Saccharomyces cerevisiae S288C: one gene and its partners. The protein of the gene in region 4 binds, or shares a complex with, the protein of the main gene of each other region. Each region holds a gene or a part of one and is shown on either strand. Other genes may lie near its edges.

Region 1 (6,399 bases), on a different chromosome or scaffold from region 4:
ATATCTTCATCATCTTCATAGCTGTCGCCTTCATAGCTGTCACCTTCATCACTCGAATCAGAAATCGGAATATCTGAGTAGGTTGGCTCAGCTGGTTCAATTTTTGGTATAAGAGAATTTTTAATAAAATTCAAATATGCAGGTAATCTATCTTCAGGAAGACCTAACTCGTCTACAACGAAGTCTGTGAGTAAGTCCTGGTCAATCCAATGAAAGTCGTAATCTCCCAGTAATCTGTAACACCGTAGATAATATGAATTGTCTACTCCGCCCATTCTTATATTGGAGACCACTATGTCATTAGTATTTATGACAAAATCTTCTTCTTTGAATCCAAATTCTAACTCTTCGCTAGCAGGAGATGGCAGATTATCATTATTGCCTTCGAATGTTTTGGTACCATTTATTGAAAGACATTTTATATCTTCTGTCAACTGCGGACTAGGGCTTGGTAAAAGATTGTTGTCAGCTCGGGAATTGTGACGTTGGCCAACATAATTAAACCCTTGATCAACCTCAGAACTTGCTGAGGATTCGTATAAAGGTTCACTATTATTCTCTGTTTCTATTTCGTAGTCTAGTTCATCATTGTCCGAGTCGCTAGTATGCATACCATGTAATACGTTGGAAATGTAACCAGCAAATGGATGATATGTCTTATTACCCTTATTTGGAACGTCAACACTAATTTCCTTGCTTTCGTTACCTTCGGAAACGCTAAGTTCAACCTTTCCAATTGTTAAGATAGGATCGAACTCTATCGCAACTTCTCTTGGCCTTGCGATTTCCTCGATACATACTCTTTTTATTTTGGTTAGATCCGGCGATTGCTGAGCCTCTTCATCTACAAAAAACAGGTCACCATCTTCAACTTTGCTTTCATTCGAAGACAGCGAGTGGTCCGTCGAGGGTGAATTCTGACTATCATCATCCTCGTTTTCACTGTCTTCATTGTTAATATATTCAACATCAGAAGTCATCTTTCCTGGTTCTTCAAAAACGTCTGCTTCCCTTTCGACAATTTCTTCACTGTTCTTTGTTTCGTTCTTTGCTCTCAGTTTTTGAATCATATTGTGGGATGGATCGTAAACTTCCTTAGCTTTTACAAATTGCATAGGTCTTTTGCGGAATGCTGCCCTTCCTGCTTGTAGGTCAGTTGAAGAATCATATCGATTACCTGGTCTTAAACCACCCATTTTCATAGAACGGCTCTTGGCATCGCGACCAAAATAATAGTCTTCTATAGTTTTTGGTGATATGAATGCTCTTCCTGGGTTGAAGTCGGCGCCTACATCATCAAGATCACCTTCTCCTAGTGGTATAGAAGAGTTATGCCAACTGTTAGTGGGAGTAGGTTTTTTCTTTATCTTTCTGCCTTGTATGCCTTTAGCATTCCCCCTGCCAGCTTTCTTGGAATTGCTACCACGTGCATGCCTACGTCTGCTTCCTTGATAATGACTATGCCTTTTTGCCATTTTTTTTGACGGTTACAACAATTTATGCTTATATTTGACTCTGCGATTAAATCACTTCTTCCTTCTAGAAACTCTGCGCAGGCCTAATTGTTGTTGTTTTGTTCAGATCTTATTTAATTGTAAAATGTCAAATTTCACTTTTATTCTTTAGGCGGTGACCGTTGCAGCTGCCAACAATAGCGCCTCAAAGGAAAAAAGTAAAAATATACACACAATAACGTTAGTAGATGAAGAATGGACGACTTCTTATCACGTATAGGAGTGATATACATGCAGAGGTGGCTACAACTGTGGAAAATGGATTTGGTACAAAAAGTGTCTCATGGCGTTTTTGAAGGCTCGTCCGAAGAACCGGCTGCTCTTATGAATCATGATTATATAGTATTAGGGGAAGTATATCCTGAGCGAGACGAAGAATCTGGCGCTGAACAATGTGAACAAGACTGTCGATATCGCGGTGAAGCGGTTAGTGACGGGTTTTTAAGCTCTCTTTTTGGTAGGGAAATTTCTTCTTACACAAAGGAATTTCTTTTGGATGTACAATCAAGGGTCAACTTTACATATCGGACAAGATTTGTTCCTATAGCAAGGGCGCCAGATGGGCCTTCACCTTTAAGTCTAAATTTATTAGTACGTACAAATCCGATCAGTACAATAGAGGACTATATAGCAAATCCTGATTGCTTTAACACTGATATTGGGTGGGGGTGTATGATAAGGACAGGACAAAGTTTGTTGGGGAATGCCTTACAAATCCTTCATTTGGGCAGAGATTTCAGGGTAAATGGTAACGAAAGTCTGGAAAGAGAATCAAAATTTGTAAATTGGTTTAATGACACGCCTGAGGCTCCATTTTCGTTACATAACTTTGTTTCTGCAGGTACAGAACTCTCTGATAAAAGACCAGGTGAATGGTTTGGTCCCGCAGCTACGGCAAGGAGTATACAATCTTTAATATATGGCTTCCCCGAATGTGGCATCGATGATTGTATAGTATCTGTTTCATCCGGCGATATCTATGAAAATGAAGTTGAAAAAGTATTTGCTGAGAATCCAAATAGTAGAATATTGTTCTTGTTGGGCGTGAAGCTCGGGATTAATGCGGTAAATGAGAGCTATAGAGAAAGTATATGTGGTATCTTAAGTTCAACACAGTCAGTAGGCATTGCCGGCGGTAGGCCGTCTTCATCGTTGTATTTTTTTGGTTATCAAGGAAATGAATTTTTACATTTCGATCCTCATATTCCTCAACCGGCAGTAGAAGATTCATTTGTAGAGTCGTGCCATACCAGTAAATTTGGTAAATTGCAACTATCGGAAATGGATCCCTCGATGCTCATTGGTATTTTGATTAAGGGCGAAAAAGACTGGCAACAATGGAAGCTAGAAGTTGCAGAATCTGCTATTATCAATGTTCTTGCTAAGAGAATGGATGACTTTGATGTGAGTTGTAGTATGGATGACGTGGAAAGTGTAAGTTCTAACTCAATGAAGAAAGATGCAAGCAATAATGAAAATCTCGGAGTACTAGAGGGAGACTACGTAGATATTGGTGCAATATTCCCACACACAACAAATACAGAAGATGTAGACGAATATGATTGTTTTCAAGATATTCATTGCAAGAAACAGAAGATTGTTGTTATGGGAAACACACACACTGTTAATGCGAATTTAACAGATTATGAAGTAGAAGGCGTCCTTGTAGAGAAGGAAACGGTAGGTATTCACAGTCCTATTGATGAAAAATGCTAGTGTAAGGAATTCACTAGTTCATAAGCATATATACTTGTTTTAATATATTCCCTAAAACTGAGGTATCCAGTTCTTTTGTTCTTATTCGTTTGATCATCCTTTACGTATTTTTCGTCTGCGGCAGTGGAAAGAACTTAAAAAACGAAAGATAATAAAGAAAAAGGCCAGTCGGCACGAATTAAAGACCACCTGTAAGAAGATTAAGACAACGGTGGTATAAACTAGTGTCGAAGTCCAAAATGCCTAGTCATCGCAATTCAAACTTGAAGTTTTGCACAGTTTGTGCATCAAACAACAATCGTTCAATGGAATCGCATAAAGTCCTGCAAGAAGCAGGCTATAATGTTAGCTCTTACGGAACAGGTTCAGCTGTGAGACTGCCTGGTCTATCGATAGATAAGCCTAATGTGTACTCATTTGGTACACCCTATAATGATATATATAATGATCTTTTATCACAATCAGCAGACCGTTACAAGTCGAACGGTTTATTGCAAATGCTGGATCGTAATAGAAGACTCAAAAAAGCACCTGAAAAATGGCAAGAAAGTACAAAAGTCTTCGACTTCGTTTTCACTTGTGAAGAGAGATGTTTTGATGCCGTTTGTGAAGATTTGATGAATAGAGGTGGGAAATTAAACAAAATAGTGCATGTAATTAATGTTGACATTAAAGATGATGATGAAAATGCTAAAATTGGTAGCAAAGCTATATTGGAATTAGCTGATATGCTCAATGATAAAATAGAACAATGTGAAAAAGATGACATTCCCTTTGAAGATTGTATAATGGACATTTTAACTGAGTGGCAAAGCTCACATTCTCAACTACCGTCATTATACGCTCCTTCATATTACTAAACAAAACGGTCAATTACTGTAGAAAAGCATAAGCATTAAGCGGCCCTCATGAATCCTACATTATCCGTGAAATTTCAATACTTTCACAAGTCTTCGATAGCTTCCTAGTTATATTCATTATATAATATTACGTTTCTTGTTGCGGCTCTCTTAAGCACATTATTTGCTTGTTGTCCACATAGCTATTTTTTTATCAAGAAGCTTGATATACAACACACTGTATTTTTAGTAAGCTGGACAATGTCTTGTCTCAATGTAGCGTATAACAGGTTTCATTCCAAAACACATCACCAGATATAGGACTGAAATGAAGAAAATAGAAGCATGAAACTTTAAAAGTTTCAGTACTTTAAGAAAGAAATAAATAGAAAAATGTTCCATTTATTTCTGAAAATAAATCAAAAATTATAAGATCCACCCGTTCCTACCAAGACCTTCCAAAATTTTTCCCATAACGGGAACGAGCAAAGTTGAGACTGCTCAAAAGAGCACATCTTCAAACTACAATCCCGACCAAATAATCTCAACAGCCATACCTTCATCATAAACTTAAGTTCATTCGAATCTGCCGTCAAAAACTAAAATGGCACGCTAGAGAAAAGTAGTCAAAAAGAATGCCTCTACAAAGCTCTCTTTTGAAAGGCCCCAGCTCCCCTAACACCAATTTGAATTTGGTGTCAAACTTCTCCAGGCAGAAGAAACAAAGGGCCCCAAAAATCAGTTTAACCCAAAAATCCCCAAAGGAATCAAGGGATTAACCAATGATTGAAACAAGGGAATGGAAACGTCAGCAAACACGCCTTCCGCGCCGTATGTGTGTGTGACCAAGGAGTTTGCATCAATGACTTCAATGAACAATTATAGTTCAATGATAAATGCTTAACGTCCTTCTACTATTGGAAGCGCATGTTTGATCAGTAGGACTTCTTGATCTCCTCTGATATCTTAAGGTAAGTATGAGGATTTTAAAAAAATTCAAGAAAAAACTATATTTTAACGCTAAAAGTATGTTTGTAAAATAGTTCTATTAAATGGAACTTCTTCTCTCTATTTATACGTCTTGCCAATGGAAAACTCGTCGCCTTAGAAAAAAAAAAGGTGCAAAGACGGGTAATAATTTCATTGACATTTTCAAGAGCTAGGGAATGAATCAATGAGCCCTATGATGGCAGCGTAGATCACCGTATTTAAATTAACATATAATAAGATTTGTTGCCACTTTCAATCTCTAAATGTGTACGTATAGAGTTCCAGGAAGCAAAAAGACCATTATTGCGCGATATGATTGCTATTTGCCCTCTGTATACATAGCTTTATAGGATATCGGTCGTACATATAATTCAGTTCAGTTCATTATACGGATATTTTCGACCACTCCCCCAACCTATAAGTGTTGGTACCTACATTTCTGATCAGTACATACCTAGTTGGTTGCCGGATGGCCGCATGATGATCTATAAATCCGATTCCCATACCATTTCCACAATTTAAGTGGTAGGTGCCGCTGGTAATAAAACCAATCAAATCATGTACCTCTGGAAGTGGAATTTTCAAATCATGATCTTTTCTTCCGTTTGGGCGGTAAACCCCTTTTGCCAATTGTAGCCAATGCTCTAAGTCCTTTTCTGGAACTTGATATATTCTTGCATTGTCCTTTGGGTGACCTCGTTCGAGTAGTGTGCAAGATACAGCAATGATACAACGTGGGAAGAATGTAAGGGAGAATGAAGAACTATTGACGCTAATGCTATCAGGAGTGCGAAATTGACATTTCCGATTTTTACACAATGCAACTGGTATGTTCTCTTCAATCGACAACGACATAGCCTTGGTCTTGGCTTCATAATCTTTGCAAAACTCCAAAACATCATTTACACAGTTGATGTCTCTTACACCCTGAGCGTTAAATTGCCCGGTCTTCTTACTGTCCATCAGTTCTAAGGTTTTATCATTCCGCTGTAAATAATCAATTCCATTTCTCAGTATTTGTAAAAATCTCCAGTCTGAACTGAAAAAATCGCCGATTTCTCCGCTATATGCCGGTAATTTAGTGTTATGGATGTCTTTGATCTTCTCGAAATTAATCCTTTTTCCCATTGGCTTCCTATCCCACTTCGTCTTGGAGGCCTCCTTTTTATAAAATGAGTTTTCTATATAACCCAATTGAGTGAATGGATAATCATCCGGAAAATATAATTGCTTATTCTCGTACTGAATTTGCTGGAATTGCCTGAGGCCAATGTGATACATCCTTGGTATCCGGTTCAGTAGATGCCATAACGGTAGCAGCCAGAACCATGGTAACACAA
Region 2 (8,241 bases), on a different chromosome or scaffold from region 4:
TAGCAATAAGACATCTTTAGCAAAATCTCTCTTAGACGCATTACAAAACTATTGTATTCAATTGAAACTGGAAGAATTCTACCGTTCACAAGAATTGGAAACCATGTACAATACTATCTTTGCTCAGTCCTTTGACAGCGATTCATTGACTTGTGTTTACTCAAATGCTACTACTCCAAAGAGCGCTACGGTTTCATCTGCGGCCACAGACTATTTCTCGGATCACACTCATTTAAGAAGGTTGACCAAAGATAGCATTTCTCCACCATTTGCCTTCACTCCAACCTCATCTTCATCCTCTCCATCTCCATTCAATTCCCCTTACAAGACTTCAAGTTCAATGACGACCCCAGACTCTGCATCACACCATTCACATTCAGGTTCGTTCTCTTCTACCCAAAATTCTTTTAAAAGGTCACTGAGCATCCCACAAAATTCAAGCATCTTTTGGCCAAGCCCACTAACTCCCACCACCCCATCTCTAATGTCAAATAGAAAATTATTACAAAATTTATCTGTGCGTTCAAAAAGATTATTTCCTGTTAGACCCATGGCCACTGCTCACCCATGCTCTGCCCCCACCCAACTGAAAAAGAGATCAACTTCCTCTGTGGATTGTGATTTTAATGATAGTAGCAACCTCAAGAAAACTCGCTGAAACGACAAAAAAAAAATGCATTTAACAACAAATAAATTAAAATTTGCAAAGCAAATACGTTAACATACATTAATGATCTTTTTTTCTTTTTGTTTTCACAGGACTCATTATTTCTTTAAATATACTTATATTACATTTGCATAGAATTACAAAAAAAAAAAAATTATAAAAACGCACAACCTAAAATACGATTACTATCGTTTTTTCTCCTTACTTCCTCTAGTCACATTATACATTTTTTTTCATCCTTCACAGACGTATCTTAATACTAAGTGTGGATCAATATAATGGGTATAGCTTGAACATCTGCCCCTCTCTATCTAATGTTTTTTTCTTGAATTATTTAGTATTTGCTGTATACTAGTTTTATTTATCAATACAGACGAATGTTCAAGAATTTCTCATTGTTTTCCGCCAACATTTCTTTAGCAACATTCCAATCTTCATCGCTACCTAACACAACAAAATCCCCATCTTCGTCCTGATATTTGATCTTGGTGATTGGTGAAATGTTGTTATTATGTGTATTCGAAATTTTAGAATTGATCGCCATTATCAAGTCGTCAAAATTCCAAACTTTTTCTACCAAAAGTGTGAAGATCTCGCTACTAGAGGTATTATTAGAGTTGTTATTATATGATATCCTGAAGAGTATGGAAGATTCTGGAATAGAGTTCTTGAAATTTTCTGAAATGGATTTAATTTCACTTTCGAAACTTGATGAAGTGGTCCTCCGTTTAGGCAGGACATCCGAAACCCTTTTCATATGAGAACTTGAGAAAGAAGCCATACTATCGTGTGTCTGGCGGCTGTTGTGATGATTCGGTGTATTCATAGTTGTGGTGGGTGACATCATTGAAGATGATTTGGCTGTCGATGAAGTCGTCGATGTTGAAGAGTGATGTCTTGCCTTAAACTGCTCATTTTTCAGATCATGAATCAACTGTTGTAAACACGATGACCAATTATCTCTTGTTTCCTCATTTTTGAATTTCAAAAGGAAATTACCTTGCTCTTTTATGGATTCCCATGTTATATTTAATGACCGGTTGTTTTGCGGTATGATTTGATTCAGATTCATTATCATAATTCGACCTCTTAGATCCAGCTTAGGTTCGTTAGCGGACAGCTTGAATAATGAGGATGATGATGAATTGTTGGAATTGTTGTCACTACTATTGGTACTGGAATGTATTATCGCCGCTGCTGAAGACGAAGATAAATGGATATTATTACTGCTACTACTATTGCTATGCCTCTTATGGTAACTGTGGTGAGGGCTGCCATTGTTGTCCGTTATGTTCGAGGCGGAGATTGATGCTGAGGTTGAGGATTTCTTCTTAAGGATTAGTGATGATGCAGATTTCTTAGTCACTACCTCTGAAAAAAGGATGATGATTTTTTCAAAAAGATAAACCTCAAATTCTCTTTCAGGTTCCGAGGAGCTATTTGTTGTTGAAATGAACACTTTATCGAAATATAATAACTCACCGAACTTGGAAATTCTATAACCCTTCCAGTTGACCACTCTACCATAAAGTTTCTTCACCACTTGATGATTTTCTGTTCTTCTTTGATTTTCGTTGATACTTCTCGCAATATTTTTAGAAATATCTAAAGCAGCTTCAAGTTCTTTCGTATTATTATCGTCACTCGATTCAGCAAGCAATTCTTTGACCAACAGGGGATATCTACAAAGCCTTTGCACGGGTTTATAAAGGAAGGATTGCAATTCCAGTTTATTGTTAATTATGAACCGCTGCGATTCATCAACCCTCATCTTGTGCAAAGTTGAAGAGAGAAATTCGATGGCTGCATTTTGGCCAATAGACCAAGGCTCATACAACTTAAAAAAATGTTTGGAATGCATGAAAAGAGCCCCGATTCTTTGCTTGGAAGGTTCTACTAAAGCATTTATTTCCAAGGATATTAGAAATCTTCTTTGAAAATCTATAGCATCACCCAAATTAGGGAACAACATGTACAACTCTTCAGACGTTATTAGATTGCTGTCTAATAACTGCTGTCTATATTTATCCAAAATTTCCAAATCGTGAACATATTTTCTTTCCGTTGCAACGAATTCCTTGATAATTTTAACATACTCGTTATGCTTCTTCGAAGACTGCTGAGGCTGATGTCGGTGTTGGTTTTCTGCGTTCATGATTTGCTGTGTCTTACTCTTAGAGGGGAAAATAGTAGGGCTGGAATTCATTAGCGTTTCTACTACTTCTAGCACTTTGACCAGCTGGGAAGTAGAGTTGGCAAAAACGTCGGATATAGTGAAAAGCTCCTCATCGTTAAATGCAAAGTGTTTCTTGCAGCCCAATATAAAGTCATAAATGGATTTTTTACAGACTTTCAAATCGTCAGATGCTATTACCGGTAATTTAAATTGCGGCTTCACAGAGTTGAAAAGTATACAGAGGGGCGCACCTTGTTGAAACAGCTGTGATAGTTGTGTCACAGGGTCGCAATCCATGGTAATGGGCAAAATACCCATACTAAAAGTCAGTAAAGTGTCCTCCATATTTGGGGTGGCCGAGGGATTCGAATTCGTGTATGATATACCTTCCATCGACATGAGACTGGTAGCTGTGGAGATAGAGCTAGACCTTAAAGTTGGTGCCAAGTCGCTACTGTCCCGGTTAGCGCCATTGGACTTGAGCAGTTCCTGATGCTGCTTTTGGGATAGCAAAAGAGATTGCCTTTCACTCAAAACCTCGCTCGATTGGTAGGCCAATTGTAAAAAAGGTTTGAGTTGAGGTAACACCTCCAGTCTTTTCCGGATGTTTGCGCATATATGGAACAGTGAGTCCTGTTCCGTGACAGGCTTGTTCATGACATTTTGCATGGGTATGGAGATGGAAGTTGCACTTGGTTTTGGTTTCAAATCGGATAAAGATGTGCCCGAGGCAAAACGGGTTTGGATCGCCATGATCTCTCGGGTTGGATTAGCAGACAGGTCTTGATAGGGCTAGGCAACAAATGATAACAGCAATGGTACTCTTCTGCTATCCTACCATAGCCACATTCTTGTTCTGTTTCTACCTTAAAGCTTCTGTTTTCCACTTCTTCCCACCAGTGCGTCGTTCTTCGCGATTATCGTACAATATGATATTTGTACAAGTAGTGATATACCAATTTCTATACTATATATATATATTATGTAGTAGTATGTAGAAAGGGCTCTTCCCTATGACAGTCTCTTCCTCTACTGGCTCTTCTTGCCCCAGATCGATCTCTGTGCTTTGTAGAATAGCTTGTCCATGACAGTGCCCACAGCTAGGACACCACCAATGCTGGTGATACAATTCAAGATGAAGCCCGACCAAGTCTGCCCGTGCTGTTCCTTATTGATGACTTTCAATGGAGACATTTCGAAAAAGACGAACATACCAGGGATACCACCCCTAACGTGAAGTGTGTTTGGATGATCCTTGTCCCTTCCACCGGCAAGAGGTCGGGAATGAAAAGTGGCGCTGAACTGCGCGGTCTCAATGACAACATTATCCAAGTACTCATATCTGGTGGGGACAATCTTGGCAAAATACGAGAACTGGTGAAAGTGTGTGTTCCTGTCCGGGAACACCTGGCGTCCGTCCAAGGGAGAAGTGGCAACTACGGCGCCGCCGTGGCGCTTATCGTTTCCTAACAACTTACTGTGGGACTGGATCGGCTTCCCAAAGCTCAAATGATTGATGATGTGGTTGAAGTTCAAATTCGAAGTCTTGTCGTACAAAGAAGTATCATGAAAATGTCCATATGCATTCTGGTAGGGTTTTCCAGGGGCAAAGTGAAGATTCCCCTGAATTCTGTTAATTTGTGCAGAACCTTTGATCCTGCAGCCTTCATTCAAGTGCTCGTTAATCTTGCTGACATAGCCCTCTCTTTCACACTGCTCGATATTCTTCCCGTCGAAAAAAGCCCAGCCTGCCTCCAAGTATGCTGATCTCACTGCATCACAGTCTTGGCAGCAAACCTTCTCTTCCTGTGCTAGATTCTCATTCTGCGACTGATCTTTGGCACCGTAACATGGCCCACAATAGTTAGGATCGTTATTAACCGGCGCGGTTCCGTCGCCGTTCCCACCCACATGCAACTCAGTAGCATCTCCCACGGGGCGACCCTCGCTATTCAACCTAGACATCGTGAACCCTGCGTCAAGAATGTCTAGTTGCATCTCTCCAGAGTCGTCCATAATATCGAGATTCACCAGGTCACATGGCATCGATGGAAATGTCACATCCATATTAAGCTCCAGCTTTGCGTGTCGGTCACGGTCCACCACCAATTGTGGCCTTGTTACCACAGAATTGAACTGTCCCCACTCGTTCACCAGCAGAAATAACGTGGTCAAGATGCACGATAAAGTGATCAGCCCGCCGGCCCTGGTGCGGACTCGTACGTCCTCTTCGGTCTTAGCGAATGCGTCCAGCGACAGCAACGTGGACCTTTTCATGATGTCTATTGTGTCTAGCTATGTGTGTTATATCACTGTCCTACTCCGCATGTATACGAGACATAAAACTAGCTTTCCTTTATAATGGCGTGGTTTCCACTCCATCTTGATGGAAAATCGCCGTTCTGATGTTCAAGTCGTATATAGTGACTTGATCTAAAAGTGAAAAGTTGCCATATTTCGATACCTTTTAACCGTTAGTACTTGACTGAACAAATGGTTAAATCGTGGCAAGAAGCATATAACTACCACTAAGCAGCGCAATGTCATCTGCAGAGATGGAACAATTGTTACAGGCCAAGACACTGGCCATGCACAACAATCCAACGGAGATGCTGCCCAAGGTGCTCGAAACTACGGCATCCATGTACCACAACGGTAATCTCAGCAAGCTGAAGTTGCCTTTGGCCAAGTTTTTTACACAGTTAGTTCTAGACGTGGTGTCGATGGACTCTCCAATTGCGAATACTGAGAGACCGTTTATTGCTGCTCAATATCTGCCACTACTTCTTGCTATGGCGCAATCCACCGCGGACGTACTAGTGTACAAGAATATCGTGCTTATTATGTGCGCTTCATACCCGCTGGTGTTGGATCTGGTTGCTAAGACATCAAACCAGGAAATGTTTGATCAGTTGTGTATGCTGAAGAAGTTCGTGCTCTCGCACTGGAGAACTGCATATCCTTTGCGTGCCACCGTTGACGATGAAACGGATGTCGAACAATGGCTGGCGCAGATTGACCAAAATATCGGCGTGAAATTAGCGACCATCAAGTTCATATCTGAGGTCGTGCTGTCGCAAACTAAATCACCCAGCGGCAACGAGATTAATTCATCTACCATCCCGGATAACCACCCTGTGTTGAACAAACCGGCTTTGGAGAGCGAGGCTAAGAGGCTTCTTGATATGTTGCTAAACTACCTAATTGAGGAACAGTACATGGTCTCGTCCGTTTTCATTGGTATCATCAATTCTTTATCCTTCGTCATCAAAAGAAGGCCGCAGACAACAATAAGAATTCTTTCCGGGCTGTTGCGTTTCAACGTCGACGCCAAGTTTCCCCTAGAGGGCAAGTCTGACTTGAACTACAAACTATCCAAGAGATTTGTTGAAAGGGCGTACAAGAACTTTGTGCAATTTGGGCTAAAAAATCAAATCATTACAAAATCCCTCTCATCCGGATCAGGGTCATCGATCTACTCCAAGCTGACCAAGATTTCTCAAACTTTACACGTTATTGGCGAAGAGACCAAGAGCAAGGGAATTTTGAACTTCGACCCTTCCAAGGGCAATAGCAAGAAAACGTTGTCCAGGCAGGACAAACTAAAATACATCTCACTATGGAAAAGGCAATTATCCGCGTTATTGTCTACTCTAGGGGTGTCCACAAAGACCCCCACGCCTGTGTCCGCACCTGCAACGGGCTCTTCAACCGAAAACATGCTTGATCAACTGAAGATATTGCAAAAATACACCCTCAACAAGGCTTCACACCAGGGCAATACTTTTTTCAACAACTCACCCAAACCAATCAGCAACACCTACTCATCTGTGTACTCATTGATGAACAGTTCGAACTCCAACCAGGATGTGACCCAGCTACCCAATGACATACTTATCAAGCTGTCCACAGAGGCCATCTTGCAAATGGACAGCACGAAACTGATCACCGGATTGTCTATCGTTGCTTCGAGGTACACGGATTTAATGAATACGTACATCAATTCTGTACCGTCCTCGTCATCATCAAAGAGGAAATCCGACGATGATGACGACGGCAACGACAATGAAGAAGTTGGAAACGATGGCCCAACGGCTAATAGCAAGAAAATCAAAATGGAAACAGAACCACTAGCGGAGGAACCAGAGGAGCCCGAAGACGATGACCGAATGCAGAAGATGCTTCAAGAAGAGGAAAGCGCCCAAGAAATCTCAGGAGATGCCAACAAATCAACTTCTGCCATTAAGGAGATCGCACCCCCCTTTGAACCTGACTCATTGACGCAGGATGAAAAACTAAAGTACCTCTCAAAGCTGACCAAGAAACTGTTTGAATTATCCGGTCGCCAGGATACTACCCGGGCCAAATCTTCGTCTTCCTCCTCCATATTACTGGACGATGACGACTCCTCGTCATGGTTACACGTCTTAATCAGATTGGTTACGAGAGGAATCGAAGCACAAGAGGCCAGTGACCTGATTCGTGAAGAACTGCTTGGCTTCTTCATCCAGGATTTCGAGCAACGTGTCAGTCTGATCATTGAATGGCTCAATGAAGAATGGTTCTTCCAAACCTCGCTGCATCAAGATCCCTCTAACTACAAAAAATGGTCCTTAAGAGTTCTCGAGTCTCTGGGTCCATTCCTTGAAAACAAACACAGACGATTCTTCATCAGACTTATGAGCGAACTGCCCAGTCTTCAAAGCGATCATCTTGAGGCACTGAAGCCTATCTGCCTGGATCCGGCAAGAAGTTCCCTTGGTTTCCAAACGCTAAAGTTTCTCATTATGTTTAGACCCCCAGTGCAGGACACTGTTCGCGACCTGCTGCATCAGCTAAAGCAAGAAGATGAAGGCTTACACAAGCAGTGCGATTCACTGCTTGACAGGCTAAAATGATCACAACCATTACATACATCATATATACGCATGTGTAGGGTCTTCCTTCAACTTGCAAATCAATGTTTTATCTATCATTCTGTGCTATAGGGACCTCGCAATTTTGACACTTCCGTAAGGAGTCATTCAGCGGCGGAGTCACTTTCGCTAACTCTTTCTTCTATATATACAGACCAACAAACAAGTATCTAATGGGAAAGGGAATCTCCACATGAAGCATACCACATCGACAATGTTACGCACTACTAGACTATGGACCACCCGCATGCCCACTGTGAGCAAATTGTTTTTGAGAAACAGCTCCGGCAATGCCCTAAACAAGAATAAACTACCATTTTTGTACTCATCCCAAGGACCTCAAGCCGTGAGGTACACTTCCCAACATGAGTGGATAGCTGTGCATCAGGACAAGACTGCCTTTGTCGGAATTACAAAATACGCCACTGATGCCTTAGGGGACGCTACCTATGTTGAGTTGCCAGAAGTGGGCACTGAGATTG
Region 3 (7,016 bases), on a different chromosome or scaffold from region 4:
TAGAGGATTTTGTATCTTCAGAAGAAGCATTGAAGTTCATGCCGGACGCTGGTCGCGACGCAAGAAGATACAGCGAGGTGGTTACCTCTTCCTTTCCTTCTATGACGGATTCTAGAAATTCGATCTCTCATTCGATAGAGTTTTGGAATCTCAATCACAAAAATAGTAGCAACAGTAAACCCACTCAACAAATTATCCCTGAAGGTACTGCCACTACTGAGAGGCGTGGATCAACCATTTCACCTACTACCACTATAAACAACTCTAATCCAAACTTCAAATTATTAGATCATGACGTTTCTCAAGCTCTGAGCGGTTATAGTATGGATTTTTCTAAGGACTCTGGTATAACAAAGCCAAAAAGCATTTCCTCTTCTTTAAATCGCATCTCCCATAGCAGTAGCACCACAAGGCAACAGCGTGCCTCTTTGCCCTTAATTCATGATATTGAATCTTTTGCAAATGATTCGGTGATGGCAAATCCTCTGTCTGATTCCGCATCATTTCTTTCAGAAGAAAATGAAGACGATGCTTTTGGTGCGCTAAATTACAATAGCTTAGATGCAACCACAATGTCGGCATTCGACAATAACGTAGACCCCTTCAACATTCTCAAGTCATCTCCGGCTCAGGATCAACAGTTTATCAAACCCTCTATGATGTTGTCGGATAATGCCTCTGCTGCCGCTAAATTGGCGACTTCTGGTGTTGATAATATCACACCTACACCAGCTTTCCAAAGAAGAAGCTATGATATCTCGATGAACTCTTCGTTCAAAATACTTCCTACTAGTCAAGCTCACCATGCAGCTCAACATCATCAACAACAACCTACTAAACAGGCAACGGTAAGCCCAAACACAAGAAGAAGAAAGTCGTCAAGTGTTACTTTAAGTCCAACTATTTCTCATAACAACAACAATGGTAAGGTTCCTGTCCAACCTCGGAAAAGGAAATCTATTACTACCATTGACCCCAACAACTACGATAAAAATAAACCTTTCAAGTGTAAAGACTGTGAGAAGGCATTCAGACGCAGTGAGCACTTGAAAAGGCATATAAGATCCGTTCATTCAACGGAACGCCCTTTTGCTTGTATGTTCTGTGAGAAAAAATTCAGTAGAAGTGACAATTTATCACAACATCTAAAAACTCACAAAAAGCACGGTGATTTTTGAAAAAAATAAGGTCAAAAGCAAATAAAAGCAAGACAAGCTACGGTATGACAAGTTTTCGGAGAAATAATATTCTTTCTTCCTCAGTTTACAAAACAAGTAGGTTGGTCATTTCATTCGGATATATTCTAAGGAATGAAATGAACATTGGTGTTTGTTTCTAATATAATCTTAAGATATTTTAAATTGTTTCTTTCCTTTTTTGCCTTTCTAACTATTACTTCAACTTCTTTTCCGTATATTTCCGTTTTTTCCATTTGGCAGATTAAAAAAATTGTGCACGTTCTGGTTTTAACGTATAGACTTCTAATATATTTCTCCATACTTGGTATTTTTTATTCACTTTTTTTATACATATTTGGTTTTTTTATACAATATCAAAAATCAATAATAATTAATTTAATAACAAGAATATGTTGCTGTGATGACTCTTAATATACAATTGGGAAGCATTCAAGGATTGGTACGACGTTTGCTTTCTGATAATTAAACGCTTGGCGTTTAATCTTTTTTGCCGATTAATAATATTATTATTACCCTCTTATTTATTAGCATTGTCTTCCGTACTAAAAGGAGTAGGGAAAAAGGCGAAGTAGAGTGACACGTCCATTACCCAGCGCTTCATAAGAATCCATCAGGTATATTAAATTGTGATGGGAGAACAAAACAAATTGTACTATGATGTCGAGAAATTGGTGAATTCTTTGCAGGAAAGTTTTGACCTGGATTGCGCGCAAAGTGTATCACTTTTCACCAGTAAATCAAGGAGCAATGAGGCTTGGTTGGAAGAGCTAGAGAATAAATTCAAGTTAAAAGATGATGTTGAACTTGATGATGTGGAAAATTTAAGAGCCGAAATTGACATGAAGTTAAATATGTTGGAGGATAAAGTAAGCTACTATGAAAGACTTTACAAAGAACTCGAAGAGTTCCAGAATGAAATAAAAATTAAAACAGTTGTGAATAACAGAAGACAATCGCGAACTCCAAAATGAGCTATCAAAAACGATAGATCGATTAGGATGACTTTGAAATGACTCCGCAGTGGACTGGCCGTTAATTTCAAGCGTGAGTAAAATAGTGCATGACAAAAGATGAGCTAGGCTTTTGTAAAAATATCTTACGTTGTAAAATTTTAGAAATCATTATTTCCTTCATATCATTTTGTCATTGACCTTCAGAAGAAAAGAGCCGACCAATAATATAAATAAATAAATAAAAATAATATTCCATTATTTCTAAACAGATTCAATACTCATTAAAAAACTATATCAATTAATTTGAATTAACTTATAAAGTGTTAGTGGTACGGAAAGTTTCCAAAGACTTGGTGATCTTAGCACCCATGGTCTTTTCACCTTCTCTAACCCAGACTCTTGGGTCGAAGAACTTCTTGTTTGGCTTTTCTGGACCTTCTGGGTTACCGACTGGGGACATTATGTAGTCCTTCTTGTTCAAGACGTAGTCTCTGATACCAGTCAAGTAAGCGTATTGACAGTCAGTGTCCAAGTTGACCTTGACAACACCGTTGTCAATACCAGTGTGGAATTCTTGGACAGTAGAACCGGAACCACCGTGGAAGACCAAGAACAATGGCTTTTCTTCCTTGCAACCAACTTGTTCTCTGGTGTACTTTTGGTGTTCAGCCAAGATTTCTGGTCTCAAAGCGATGTCACCAGCGTACAAACCGTGACAGTTACCGAAAGCAGCAGCAATGGAGAAGTTTGGAGAGATTGGGTGCAAAGCCTTGTAGACGTTGTAAACTTGTTCTGGCTTGGTGTACAAGTCTTCCTTGTCAGCGTTTTCGTTGTTAACACCATCTTCTTCACCACCGGTAATACCGATTTCCATTTCTAACCATTGGTCCATAGCGGCCATTCTCTTGAAGTACTTGACACAAGTAGAGATGTTTTCTTCATCGGTTTCTTCAGACAAATCCAACATGTGGGAGGAGAATAATGGTTCACCGTGTTCCTTGAAGTAAGCTTCATCAGCTTCCAACATACCATCGAACCATGGCAACAACTTCTTGGCACAGTGGTCAGAGTGTAAGACAACTGGGATACCGTAAGCTGGAGCAATGGATCTGATGTAGTGGGCAGCGGCAATAGCACCCTTGATGGAAGCATTTTGACCTTCGTTAGAGATACCCTTACCAGCGAAGTAAGCAGCACCACCGTTAGAGGTTTGCAAAATGATTGGGGACTTGCTGTCTCTAGCAGCTTCTAAAGCAGCGACGGCAGTAGAAGAAGAGGTGACGTTAATAGCTGGAATAGCGAACTTGTGTTCCTTAGCGTAAGTGAATAAGTTGTGGACATCTTCACCAACGATGACACCGGTCTTTCTCTTTAAGATTTGTTCAACACCCATTTTGAATATGTATTACTTGGTTATGGTTATATATGACAAAAGAAAAAGAAGAACAGAAGAATAACGCAAGGAAGAACAATAACTGAAATTGATAGAGAAGTATTATGTCTTTGTCTTTTTATAATAAATCAAGTGCAGAAATCCGTTAGACAACATGAGGGATAAAATTTAACGTGGGCGAAGAAGAAGGAAAAAAGTTTTTGTGAGGGCGTAATTGAAGCGATCTGTTGATTGTAGATTTTTTTTTTTTGAGGAGTCAAAGTCAGAAGAGAACAGACAAATGGTATTAACCATCCAATACTTTTTTGGAGCAACGCTAAGCTCATGCTTTTCCATTGGTTACGTGCTCAGTTGTTAGATATGGAAAGAGAGGATGCTCACGGCAGCGTGACTCCAATTGAGCCCGAAAGAGAGGATGCCACGTTTTCCCGACGGCTGCTAGAATGGAAAAAGGAAAAATAGAAGAATCCCATTCCTATCATTATTTACGTAATGACCCACACATTTTTGAGATTTTCAACTATTACGTATTACGATAATCCTGCTGTCATTATCATTATTATCTATATCGACGTATGCAACGTATGTGAAGCCAAGTAGGCAATTATTTAGTACTGTCAGTATTGTTATTCATTTCTTAGGGCTTGCGTCAGCTTGATGAGGATTTGTGATAGTAGCCGTTGGAGGCATGAAGGGCATTGGAAACATGGGGAAAGGAGGTATACCGAAAGGTAACGGTACTGGTGGCACTGGCGTACCGCCGTTATTTACAGAAGTTGGAAGGCTGGTATTGTTGTTCAAGCCAGCGGTGCCAGTTGGATCCATCAACTTCATTTTCTTAGTTTCTGGCTGGTTGCCATCTTTAGAGCTTCCGTGTAGTTCCTCTTGTTTCTTCAAAAACGTTTCGACCTCCTTTTCCTTGTCCTGGTCGGGTACTAAAGAATCGAGAAGGATATCGCGGGTTTCGCAATTGGGGCATACAAAGTCGCTCTCTACCAGTGCATTTTCCAGCGCCTCTTTTGAGAAATCTATGTTACAGCACTTGCTTGTCTTTACCGGCTGCCTCAAAAGACCACCTGTCAAGGGACATTTTAAATCGTCAGGAAGATCTTTGAAATGGCCTTTTCTCCAAATGGTTTCATCACCATCAATTTGACGGTTCTCTCTTTTCCTTTGGTAGTCTTCCCATGATTGTTTGTCTTCAACTTGTACCACGAACTTGCCTTCGTCCGTAATCATAATCTTTCGCTGAGCCATCTCTTCCGGTGTCATTGTCTCGGGATCTATTTCAATGGATTTTAAAAACTTCTTTGGAATACCTGTGGTTCTTCTGATTCTTTTTCCTTCAAAATTTGGATCGCTGTTAGTTGGACAATTTTTAATCCAGTGGTCTCTACCCCCACAACGATAGCACATATAACCTGGTGGCGGTGGGCCTTCGTTTTCTTGTGCAGAATTCTTATTCGTCTGTGACTTGAAAAAAACAGGTGTGGCTGCAGACATTTCTTCTTGCGTTTGTTCCCATTGATTTTCTTGTGTGGCAAACATACTAGCAATTCTTTCTTCTTCCGTTGTACCACTAACATTAGCAGTGGTTGTAGCAGTGTGTTGTCTCTTTTGCAACACTCTTGGCCTACCAGTAACATACCTTGTTGCGTTCCCAAGAGCTGCTGCTCCCACATTCCCTTTAAGTCGACTGTGTACGGAGAATGATTTAATTGCTGGAGATCTTTTTACTATGACACTAGTAGATCTAGGTATAACAAAGGCATCATCGTCGTATTCCTCTTCTGTATCTGGGTTGTAAATTTTTAATTGGAAATCTGTGCCGTCACCTAGTTTGTTCTCTTGAATAATTTCCCTTTTCAAATCAAATACTGTCAGGCCGGTACCATCAAATAAAATTCTTGATGTGTTTCGTTGAGACTTAAAGCGGTAAAATATCGTGCTACTCATGTTACACTATTCCAGTCTCTGCCGATATGATGAGAGCTACCGAAATTTCAGTACCCTCTTGATTGTTCTTGCTTATTTTATGTTGGCCATAAACTTGGTTATTAACAATATGCTTGATATTCATCATCATTGTATTAACTTTCAGTAAAGTTACCCGCCTGAATTACAATGTTGTGACATAATATAATGGCATAAGGAAGGTTATTGCACCAGCAATGGATTAAGGTAGTTATATTTACCGCTTATACACTACATGATAATGAATATATCAAGTCGATCATCCTTTTTTATGTTTTAAAATACTTTACATACATAACTGTGTTTTTACTTTATCTAAAAAAAGAGTTGTTATGAATTTGTGATTATTTATATTTCCAAATATTTATGATCTCAAAACGTAAAAAAACATAAAAAAAAAGTGTTAACCAAAGAAATTGAAGAAAGATAGATAAATAAGTTCCAAAAGTTCTATGAATTTTCAGGTTGCATGGCAGATAATGTCTTCTGCTAGGCAAATGTCAAACATGAACTGAATTGTCAATACAACATAATGTTAGCTTCATTATTGTTGTATTGCCGGGTAAGCTAATTTTACTAATAACAATATTTTCTTAACGCCTTAGAATACTTTGTGAAATATTCGACCGAATAAGGAATAAGTAGAAGATGCACTTAGAGGTTAGGAGGGGGACACAGGCTATCGAAGATAACAGTAAGGATAAATGGCAGTACCCGGGTATTACGAATTATATCGTAGAAGTACTATAGGGAATAGTTTGGTGGATGCTCTTGATACTTTAATTAGTGATGGGAGAATAGAAGCGTCGTTAGCTATGCGTGTTTTAGAGACATTTGACAAAGTGGTGGCTGAGACTTTAAAAGACAATACCCAATCTAAATTGACTGTGAAAGGAAACCTGGACACATATGGATTTTGCGATGATGTTTGGACTTTTATCGTAAAAAATTGTCAGGTTACTGTTGAGGACAGCCACCGCGACGCCTCCCAGAACGGGTCTGGAGATAGCCAAAGTGTAATTTCGGTGGATAAGTTGAGGATTGTGGCATGTAACTCAAAAAAGAGCGAGTAATATCTATGCTATATGCCCGGATGCTTTGTTGACCAATAGTTACATTGAAATTTCTCTATTATCTCCTCTCTTCTACCGCTTTTAATACAAGCTCTAGGAACAGTGTCATGAAATAATGTTTTGTATTCTTTTATATTAGGGAACTTGTGATTCTTCTGTTTTTGTTTTTTATTTTTCCTGTCTGTACATTCATGTAATAATAATTTAGATTTAAAGTTCAATCTTTTTACTTAAAAAACAAACGAAGATCATGGTGCTAATATTCGGATTTGAGTTGATCAATTTTTTAAATGAAGTATTAATTTACAGTTTATATATTCACTATAGACCTCGTAACTCATCTCTTAAATCAGTTAAAGTAACCACTTTACTTCCGTTTAGAATCCATTGATCGTATGCACTATCAAAGCTAGATAAAACGTTG
Region 4 (9,972 bases):
CACGTCGTCATCGTCCTCTTTCGTAATTGATTACGACGAAGATATGCATATGGCATGTTTACTATCGTTAAATCATGAAACTCAAAATCAATCTCATATTTTGACCTGGAATTTCATATTTAAGAACTACTGCTGGAGACACCTTTTCTTAGGTCAATTGCCGTTGCTAATGTCTGAACCTTTCACAAATTCTACCCCAATTATTGATCCTTTGTTGAACAACGATTTTGAATTGATTGATTTTGAAGTAAACTTGATGAAATATTTGCAAAGTAAAGATCAACAACTATCCATTGATAAAATTATACAGTTAATCAAGCTTTTGAAAAATAAGAATATCGAGGTCAGCCAAGGATGTTTAACGACTCCTTCAATAATTAATAATATCATGGATTCTCTAATCTACAGGAATTCAATGTTATATTTGAACTTTTACCTCTTATTGCAATTTGAAACATTGAAAAATTATGCTAAATTTAACGAAATTTTGGAAGACTTTTTGGAATTGTCGAGGGAGACCTTGTTCTTTGTTTTCTCGAACTTAGCCAATATTAAATTTGCTGGTCATGAATTCACATTCATCAATAAATCTATTGTGGTTCTGCAAACTTTAGTTTTAATGCTTTTGGCGCTCTATCAAAGGTCTTTTGATTCTTCAAAGAGGACGAATGATGCTAATGAAATCAGTGAGCAAACAGATATTCATAGTAATAACGACAATAGTAAGAGAATAAAGAATAAAAATGTTATTCATTTAATTATCAACAAAATTGCAATGTTGTTAAGTGATTATACCAAGAATTGTAAAAAGCAAAATAAACTCATCGAAAATCTGATTATTAAAATTAAGACAATCTCCAAGTATATCAAAAATCTTGAGGAGAATAAGGTAACGACTAGCGCCGATTCAAATTATTCCATTAATAACGGATTTTCTGGCATATCTGCAGAGCAGTTGATTAAATTAAATCACGAGTTGAGTAAAATTTCAGAATCTCTGATAAAAACGGATTTTTATGAACAGAGGAAAAATAGCACAGTTTCTAATGGAGTTTTAGGCGCAGCAGCTCCTGTTGATAGCGACGCAAATTCGGATACTTTCGGTTTAACAAAGGAGAATTTCAACGAAGTTTTTGAGGCTATTCGTAGCTAAAGCGACTCAAACAAATTAAAGAAGAAGTTGAGACTTTTATAGTATTTATTATTTAATCTGAGGATTTGTATTATTTTTTTATATAGAATGAATAAATCAGAAAAAGGAAATTATGAAAAGAAAAGAATGAGGAGAGTGGGAGATATTTAATGTTGTTAGCTATTTATCTGTATGGAAGTTATTACCTTCTTTTAAGATGGTACAAATAGCATATAGGTGGGTTTGGTATAAAGATCATTTAGTTTTTGTCATAGATTTTTCAATTGTGCATAGGACCAGTTTATGTTACCTCTATCATACTTATATTTTTTTATATACAAATTTTTAAATTACCGATATTATATATAGGCACCGATAGTATAGCCCACCAAAGCGCCCAAATAACCTCCAACAACAATAGGAATTGGCCAATTCTGCCAATCTCTATCCCAATCCAAAGGAATGACAACACAACTAATCCAACCCCCTACAACGATAAAGATAAAATACTTCTTCCATAATCCCACTTTGAAATCACAATTAAATACAGAATAAACTGCAGGGTATGCTAAAAATGCAAAATGCAGTGACAACAGCCAGGTTTCCCACAATAAGTCCATTAATGGCGCACCAAATAATATAGTTAATAACATTGTGGGAAAGCTCAACAAAAATGTAACACCTAGACAAATAATGGTCAATGAGTAATTGATCTTAATGATTTTGTTACCGTAAACTGTGCATTTATTGAATTGTAAAACTAAATAAGCAACTTGTGTAGGAATCAAAAAACTTAGCAACTTCACCGTATTGAAATTTGAAGATACAAAAACGTAGTAATAAAGTAGTGCTACTAAATGGTATGGAAATGTCATCAGAGGGGTTTTCCTCACATACACAGGTGGACGATCATGATCTACGTTCTTTTTCTCACGATTTTGGTGCGTTGTTAATGTTGTGTCATCGGAGAATGATACGGTTTTTTTCACTGTCTTTCTAGTCCTTTTTTTAGCTGGCATATTTAAATTGGACCTTCTTTAGTGCACTTGTTTATGTTCCTGCAAAGTCTTTGATTAAAGGCACCGTTTGCACTTTTGCTTTATTTCACTAACTGTTCTTTATTTGTTTTTTTTGCTGTGCAAAAAGTAACTTTTTCCTCATCCCCGCGTTACGTAAATAGTTCCGAAAATGTACGATGATACATGCGTTATTGTTACAAATCTAGTGTTTCAAGTAGTGGTTCTTATTCACTACTCGAATGCCTAGTGATAGATAGATGTATATATCGGGCTAGTTAGCATTAAATATCCTTTATATGTATTGTTCACTTACCCTGGCATAAAGATCTCATTGAAAATTCAATATTTATGATATCTCTCCATGCTTCAAAATGCGCATGTCTTCCTGCTTTCTGCGCAATGCTTTTCCGTCTATCAATAGCTAATCCACAGAACCTCCGTATAACGTTGAAATCAAGCATAGGCCTCATAGAGTGACCCATCTGATAAAAGTCGTTGGCCAATCTTTCCATGCGAGGGTTTAAACCACCTAGCTGTAATTCTCGATCGATGATTTGTTGTTGAATCACATAAAGTCTTCTGTATTTTTCCTCACTTAAAGGAACTATCTTGAAGACTGACCCATCCACTTGGCCACCAACGTTTTGAAACGATGGCACTTGAGGAGAGCCAAATTCCTCGTTTCTTGGTAAAAGCATCATACAACTATTGGTGGAATGCAACGTGAAACTGGAGCAGTGGACTAAACGTTGACCCGAAAGAGAGTTGGGTTCATCTGGCGCATATTTTAAAACATGAACATTTCTGTCAGCATCTGTTGCCGCAAAATACATATCCCCTCCGTTCACTAAAAACTCTAGCGACATTGTTTGAAATTTCGACATACTTCTGCCCAATGAAATCATCCTGTATGGTTCTGCGTCAAAACCAATAAATTGGAACCCCTGCATAGCGTCACCAATTATCAAAAGATTACCAAAGCTTTTAGAATCCGTAACGAAAACAGGAATATCCAAAAATGCCACTGGTATGACGGAATTATCTTCTTGGATATCTCTTACTAGAACTTTTTGGCTTTGACTAATCATGAATCTTCCACTAACCTCACAAACAGTAGATACAGTACCACTGACCTCTTCTTGAAAAATTTCCTTGAGCTTATAATTGGTATCAGGTTTACCAGGTTCGGGAACAACTTCTATCACATCATAAATATGGAAAGCGCCAGTTGGTGGAGTGTCTTCAGTGGTGGCATTGGCAACACCGGCTATAATGTATTCTCTTTTCCTCTTAGTTTTTGAATTAATTTGAATCATAGAGGATCTCATTTCATTGACGACAGAATTCTTTGGAAAGTCGATTTTATCAATGACCTTCCAACTTTTTGGATTAATGAGTAAAATTCCACTTTGAAATCCTTCCGCATGAGGAACATTCTCGTCATAACCAATTACTTTTTCGCCATCTTCTCCTAATGCTTCGTAAGGAACCCGCTTGCAATAAGATACAAGAAACAATTGAGCCCTTTCATGATAGACTAGTTTTTGCAGAGTTTTGTAGTCATCAAGCACATTGCTGATCTTTATCTGTTTCAATGGTAATTTGTTACCATAGTACATATTGTCAGTAGTTAGTGTGTAAACTCTGGCGTTTTTAATATCATCTACACACATGACTGAACGCTCGCTCCAGGGAGTGACTGAAACCAATGGTATGTTTCCGAATTTGAAAATCTTCGGTGTGGAATCATCTTCTTTTATTAATATGTATGGAACGCTACCGGTTACAAATATTACCGAATAACCGTTGTAATCGGGAAAGTAATGCATGATTCTTTCGATGGAACTAACACCCTTGGCGTATGCATTGTCAGGAGCACCAGTAATAGCTAGATCATTTCTTGTAACGTTTCTATAAAATCTACTACGTCTTTGTGGTAATTTTCTATATTGGTAAATCTCTCCTCCGAAGGTTAATATTGTCAGGTATTCTTCTTTATTGTCATGGCCCAGTTTGTTTATCATTACTTGTTTAATCGATGGATCAGGGACGATCTCATCGCCCAGTTGATAAGTGCTAATGTATAAAGATTCATTTAATTGGTCAACACCATTTAGTTGAAAGATTCTGTCATTATGGTCTTTAGTAAAAAAGATAATTTGGTTATCTGCAGTAACAAATGTAAACAATAACTGTTCTTCTTGAGACTTACTCAACCCAATCAAAAATTCATTACACATATTGCTTTTCAAAATCAAACCAGATGTAATAACCATTTCATTCAAAATTTCTGGCAAATCAACTTTTAACAATTTTCTTTTATTCTTTTCCTCCAATTCAAATATCTTAATATCACCCCTTGATACGGTAACTAGTATATACGGATCCATGACGGAAACATGAATAACTTCGTAGTCAAATTTAATTGTGGTGAGACGTCTAAAATGTGTATCATATAAATATAAGTGATTGGTGGTGACTTGTATTATTCTTTTTTCTTCACCAAACATTGAAATGTAAACTGTAGTAGCATCTCTTCTTAAACGGCCGCCCTTATGAAGTTTGAAGTTATTGTCACTTTCATATATGTCACTCCGGGATTTTGTGGAATCAGTAGTTATTAAGTACCTATCTCTTCCTTTGATCTTCAGATTCCAGATTTGTGTTATACTGATAAATTTCAATGCTAATTCAATTTCCGGTTGAACACTAGTCTGTATGACGGTCAAATGAGAACCTGAACCATTTCCCGATGTGGCAACTAGCGAATACTCGTTTTTGTTTGGATTTGGTAGTCCTTTTACCACATCATCAATGGAAGATACCTTACCTACAGTTAACGATGTGATGGGACCAACATTCCTTAGAGATGATAACAGTTCGATATCGAAAGGTTGAACAGTTTCCACAGTGCCTTTGGAATCATTAGTTGTTAGTCCATTTTCAGGAGCTTCATCGGCGTATAAATCGTCCATTTCCTCATCATCGTCGTCATTGATATCCATCAAACTATTTGTACCTGAAGATGGATTGTGTGCTTCTCTTGTTTCAATGGTAGATTTCAAATTATTCAATCTGAGAACCAAAGCATTTCCTGAACCAAACCCAATAAATAAGTCCATATTTTTGTTTGAATTGGTGGCATTCAAACGTGTTATACATTTTGGATTGGAGTTCTCCTTCAAAAGATCATTGACTATAGGTAGCTTGAAAATATCGAATTTAATCAGTAACCTGCCCTCTGCTTCCATTTGGATATAGTATATATTGGATTTCAAGTCCATAAGTAGTAGTGTTTCGTCATTATTACTTCCTCCGTTTTTGCTCTTGGACGAAGGTATCCAAATTGACGTAGTGTTTTTCTCCCTGAACATAATTTCCAATGAAGAATTGTTGATAATTTTTGTTTTCTGTAACTCTTTATCAGCAAATGAGTTTAATAATACTGTCGATTGTAAAACGCCAGTATTATCTAGAAATGCCAGTTCATTGGTTCCCACAATGATAGCACCATTCGAAACAGGTACAATGGTGTGTAGATCCCAAGGCAGTTCCTTGACAAATGCTATTGTGGTTGATTCAATCTTGGTGGCACTTTCTGCAGGCTGGATATTTAATGTGAGTATAACGTATTGTGTAGGGAGTTTTGAAATGGTGGTGTTTCCTGCCCAAACAAGCTTTGGTTGGTATAAGAGCGCTATCGTTGGTTTAGTAAAATTTTTCAAGAACTGAATATCTATGATATTTTTGGCGCCTTCGTACAACTCACTCGCTACCAATACCACGCTTGGAGCCGTGAACTTGTCACCTAACTTGGTTCTCTTCCTCTTATTGAAAGTATTCGTCCCTTGGGATTTTTGATTCATGCTATGGATTAATTCACTATCGTCTATGTTCTCGTCCTCATCTTCTTCCTCCTCATCGTCGTCATTTTTATTGACATGGAAGGGTAGAAAAGCGATAATGTCATTATTGAACAGTAAGGCACAAGAACTTCCAGGATCCATTCTCAAGGTGGAAATTTTGGCCAGCTCTACCAACGATTTACCCTTGAACTTTCCTTCGTAGTAATGCAGGCTTAGGGTATCGATTGAGTTTGTTAGCGTGTTGAACTTTAAAATAGAGATTTTAGCGACGCCTGTGCATAAAAGCAGGCAACTTAACGGACTGTCTTTTTGGGGAATGAGGCCTATATCGGTGATCAAGCCATGAAACTTAAACTCATCAGTCAAATACAGTTTACCATCCCTAGTAGGCCTGTAGACAGAAAGGATATTTGTTCGCACCACTAAGAGCTCCTCATAATCTGAAGTAGTAAAATGTGTTGCTAATGAATGAGACACAACAGTAGCGTCAAGCACATCATCATATACATTCATAGGGCCAGTAGCTAGAGTAAAAAGCGAATCTAGGTTAGTACCTGATAGTTTTAATCAGTGAAGTGTTCAAGGGACGGTGATCTTCCTCAATTTACATATGATTGCTTTAACGCTGCTCTGTGAAATATGTCACCTCGAACTTACCTTATATTAAGATCACTTACTACGTTGTCTTATTGGGAGCCGACGGGATGAGGAAGCACAAAATGTCACTAATAGGGCTGGTCAGTGGCACAGTGAATCATAATATATCGGTTGAGCACCAGTTAAAGTATGAACATGTTAAATTTAAGACTCTCACTTATCAATGGTTACATTTTGGTCTAAATTTATTTATTTATGACACTATCAGGTACCTTGGTAAAGGAATTGAAAATAAATAGCACCCACACATCGCATGATGGCAGGAAATGAAAAATTACATCAGCGAACTAATGCTTTCTCGATGAATTATTCATCCATCAAAACGGTCTTTCAAGATTAATGTCTAGTTGCTTCAAAGATAGGCATAGTTTAGGTCATTTTATCAGCTACTGTAATATAGTCATAAGAACGCGAAAATGAAGGATGCTAATGAGAGTAAATCGTATACTATAGTGATCAAATTAGGCTCTTCATCGCTAGTAGATGAAAAAACCAAAGAACCTAAGTTAGCTATCATGTCGCTTATTGTCGAAACTGTAGTCAAATTGAGAAGAATGGGACACAAAGTTATCATCGTGTCCAGTGGTGGTATTGCTGTTGGTTTGAGGACTATGCGTATGAATAAAAGACCAAAACATTTAGCAGAAGTTCAGGCCATCGCAGCTATTGGGCAGGGTAGATTGATCGGGAGATGGGATCTTCTGTTTTCGCAATTTGATCAACGTATCGCTCAAATTCTATTGACCAGAAATGATATTCTGGACTGGACCCAATATAAGAACGCTCAAAACACAATTAATGAATTGTTGAACATGGGCGTTATTCCCATTGTGAATGAAAACGACACACTATCTGTTAGAGAAATCAAATTTGGTGACAATGACACTTTATCAGCAATTACTTCTGCTTTAATCCATGCAGATTATCTTTTCTTACTGACAGATGTTGACTGTTTGTATACTGATAATCCAAGGACAAACCCAGATGCCATGCCGATCTTAGTTGTCCCAGATCTCTCAAAGGGTTTGCCCGGTGTGAATACTGCTGGTGGTTCAGGTTCTGACGTTGGGACCGGTGGTATGGAAACTAAATTGGTTGCTGCAGATTTGGCAACGAATGCCGGTGTTCATACGTTGATCATGAAAAGCGATACACCTGCGAATATAGGTAGAATTGTCGAGTATATGCAAACTCTAGAACTTGACGATGAAAATAAAGTTAAACAAGCATATAATGGCGATTTAACGGATTTGCAAAAAAGAGAATTTGAGAAATTAAAGGCTCTTAACGTTCCACTACATACGAAGTTCATTGCTAATGATAATAAACACCATCTAAAGAATAGAGAGTTTTGGATTTTACACGGTCTTGTCTCTAAAGGCGCTGTTGTTATAGACCAAGGTGCGTACGCAGCCTTAACAAGGAAAAATAAGGCGGGATTATTGCCAGCAGGTGTTATTGATGTTCAGGGCACTTTCCATGAGTTAGAATGTGTTGACATAAAAGTTGGTAAAAAGTTACCAGATGGCACGTTAGATCCAGATTTTCCCTTGCAAACAGTAGGCAAGGCAAGATGCAATTACACGAGTTCTGAATTAACTAAAATTAAAGGTTTGCACAGTGACCAAATCGAAGAGGAATTGGGCTATAATGACAGCGAATATGTCGCTCATAGAGAAAATTTGGCATTCCCACCTCGTTGAAACGAACTAAAAAGTTATAGAGGATTCCCTTAATGATATTTCTTATATAAAACACTACCTTTATATTTCCAGGTTAAATAATGACACATTAAGCATGTTTTGTTTTTTTGAAGAATTGTGCAGAGCAGCTGTTTCTTCCTAATCCACATTAGTGTTCTTAACTCAAAAAAAAGGTAGTTGTTAACAGCTACTTTTTGTGATCCGTTAAAATCCTTCTATCTACTTATAAGCCCTAAATTAAATGAGTTGTGCGTATTTAAAATAAATGTATATTCAACCAAAGATTTGGATATCATCGTTTTTAACAGCCTCTAATTCTTCGTCATTTTCTATTCTGGCATGTTGTTCCTCATCCTCATTTTCATTAAAGTTCACTCGTTGACCTAACAATCCCGCAAAGAATTCATCGATTTGGTCGTCTGACCATTTGTATCCGGATGTGATGGGGGCTTCATAATTCGCAATTGGATCTTGAACTGAGTAGTTCAATTTCCTACCCTTGGAAGCCTTAGTATCGATATTCTTCTTTAGCTTGTTGTTCGAACGAGCATTAGTTGAGGTGATTGTAATTGCTGCACTTTCAGAATTGTGAGCGTTGGAAATCTTTTTGTCAATTAAATCGTTTAGTAAAACACGGTAAAAATCTTCGTCATCAAAAACATATGGGTTTTCGGTAATGTCAATGGCATTGTTATCCTTTCTTCTTGGGTCATAGTTTTTCGGGATATCAAGCCCATCATCCGAATTCTCATTGTCATCAACACTATCTTTGACAACGGGAGAAATCAATTCTGGTAGCCTGCCATTAGCACAGTCTTTTTGGAAATACAAAGGCGTTATGTTTCTCCTGTTCAACTTTGTTCTTTTCATCAAACGGGACATATCGGATAATTGGTTTTCGACTTGTACATCTGCAGGTAAGTTGATAGCTTTGAATTTGTTAGATGATAAAGCAGCGTTACCTGATGCAGAAGAAACTTTGGTAGACCACTTGTTTAATACGGCAGTCCTGTACTCTTTTAGTTCTGAGTCTAAGCTATTAGTTTCTTGGTAAAGCTCTTTGAGAGATCTTTTTTTGGACAATTTATGCTTCGCCACCTCTTCATTTTGAGTGATATGATCGCCAAGTTGGAATTTTATTCTGAAATTTATCAACCGATTGAATAAATTATTGAACAGTTTTTCGTTTTCCTTCAGCAAACGCTTTGTTTCCTCTGAATCATCCATTTTAGCCTCTTCCCAGGACTCTGTAGTTAATGGGAGCTTATTTGCTGCAATTACAGCTTTTTGTAGTTTTATTCTCAAATCAATGATGTTGTCAAATAATTTTGTCTGTTGTAAAATGGAATAACCCTTCGAAGCATCTCTTTGAACTGATTGAGACAGTTTGTTAATAGCTTGTTTAGTCTCTTGTTGAATTAGTTTCGATAGTGCATGCCTTTTCTGTTGAGCCTCCTCCGTTTCACCGCCGTCCGCGTCTGATTCTTCTTCATCAATCTCTACTTCTTCATCTTCAGAATCTGTCCTGAATGAAAGAGCATCTTCCTCTTTTTCTTCTTCCTCTTCTTCTTCTTCTTCTTCGTCCTCATTCTCGG

Evidence for each region.
Region 1: CFT1 (region 4) and SSU72 share a complex: the UniProt entries of both Saccharomyces cerevisiae proteins name them as parts of the cleavage and polyadenylation factor (CPF) complex.
Region 2: CFT1 (region 4) and PTA1 share a complex: the UniProt entries of both Saccharomyces cerevisiae proteins name them as parts of the cleavage and polyadenylation factor (CPF) complex.
Region 3: CFT1 (region 4) and MPE1 share a complex: the UniProt entries of both Saccharomyces cerevisiae proteins name them as parts of the cleavage and polyadenylation factor (CPF) complex.

The regions. Positions count from the first base shown.
Region 1 is NC_001146.8:225,625-232,023, forward strand, and holds SSU72 (RNA polymerase II subunit A C-terminal domain phosphatase), read left to right. Parts: upstream 1-3,469; coding exon 3,470-4,090; downstream 4,091-6,399. Other genes in the region: SQS1 (Sqs1p), read right to left, coding at 1-1,475; cysteine protease ATG4, read left to right, coding at 1,746-3,230; ribonuclease P/MRP protein subunit POP1, read right to left, coding at 5,444-6,399. UniProt on the Saccharomyces cerevisiae protein: Component of the cleavage and polyadenylation factor (CPF) complex, which plays a key role in polyadenylation-dependent pre-mRNA 3'-end formation and cooperates with cleavage factors including the CFIA complex and NAB4/CFIB.
Region 2 is NC_001133.9:58,195-66,435, reverse strand, and holds PTA1 (RNA-processing protein PTA1), read left to right. Parts: upstream 1-5,383; coding exon 5,384-7,741; downstream 7,742-8,241. Other genes in the region: cyclin CLN3, read left to right, coding at 1-658; Rho family guanine nucleotide exchange factor CDC24, read right to left, coding at 1,032-3,596; retrograde cargo receptor ERV46, read right to left, coding at 3,873-5,120; GCV3 (glycine decarboxylase subunit H), read left to right, coding at 7,974-8,241. UniProt on the Saccharomyces cerevisiae protein: Essential in pre-tRNA processing. Component of the cleavage and polyadenylation factor (CPF) complex, which plays a key role in polyadenylation-dependent pre-mRNA 3'-end formation and cooperates with cleavage factors including the CFIA complex and NAB4/CFIB.
Region 3 is NC_001143.9:323,943-330,958, forward strand, and holds MPE1 (cleavage polyadenylation factor subunit MPE1), read right to left. Parts: upstream 5,502-7,016; coding exon 4,176-5,501; downstream 1-4,175. Other genes in the region: stress-responsive transcriptional activator MSN4, read left to right, coding at 1-1,178; BLI1 (Bli1p), read left to right, coding at 1,829-2,170; fructose-bisphosphate aldolase FBA1, read right to left, coding at 2,466-3,545; TOA2 (transcription initiation factor IIA subunit gamma), read left to right, coding at 6,224-6,592; NUP120 (Nup120p), read right to left, coding at 6,914-7,016. UniProt on the Saccharomyces cerevisiae protein: Component of the cleavage and polyadenylation factor (CPF) complex, which plays a key role in polyadenylation-dependent pre-mRNA 3'-end formation and cooperates with cleavage factors including the CFIA complex and NAB4/CFIB.
Region 4 is NC_001136.10:1,059,910-1,069,881, reverse strand, and holds CFT1 (cleavage/polyadenylation factor CFT1), read right to left. Parts: upstream 6,531-9,972; coding exon 2,457-6,530; downstream 1-2,456. Other genes in the region: RSC3 (Rsc3p), read left to right, coding at 1-1,153; mannose-ethanolamine phosphotransferase GPI11, read right to left, coding at 1,492-2,151; PRO1 (glutamate 5-kinase), read left to right, coding at 7,091-8,377; rRNA-processing protein BFR2, read right to left, coding at 8,651-9,972. UniProt on the Saccharomyces cerevisiae protein: RNA-binding component of the cleavage and polyadenylation factor (CPF) complex, which plays a key role in polyadenylation-dependent pre-mRNA 3'-end formation and cooperates with cleavage factors including the CFIA complex and NAB4/CFIB.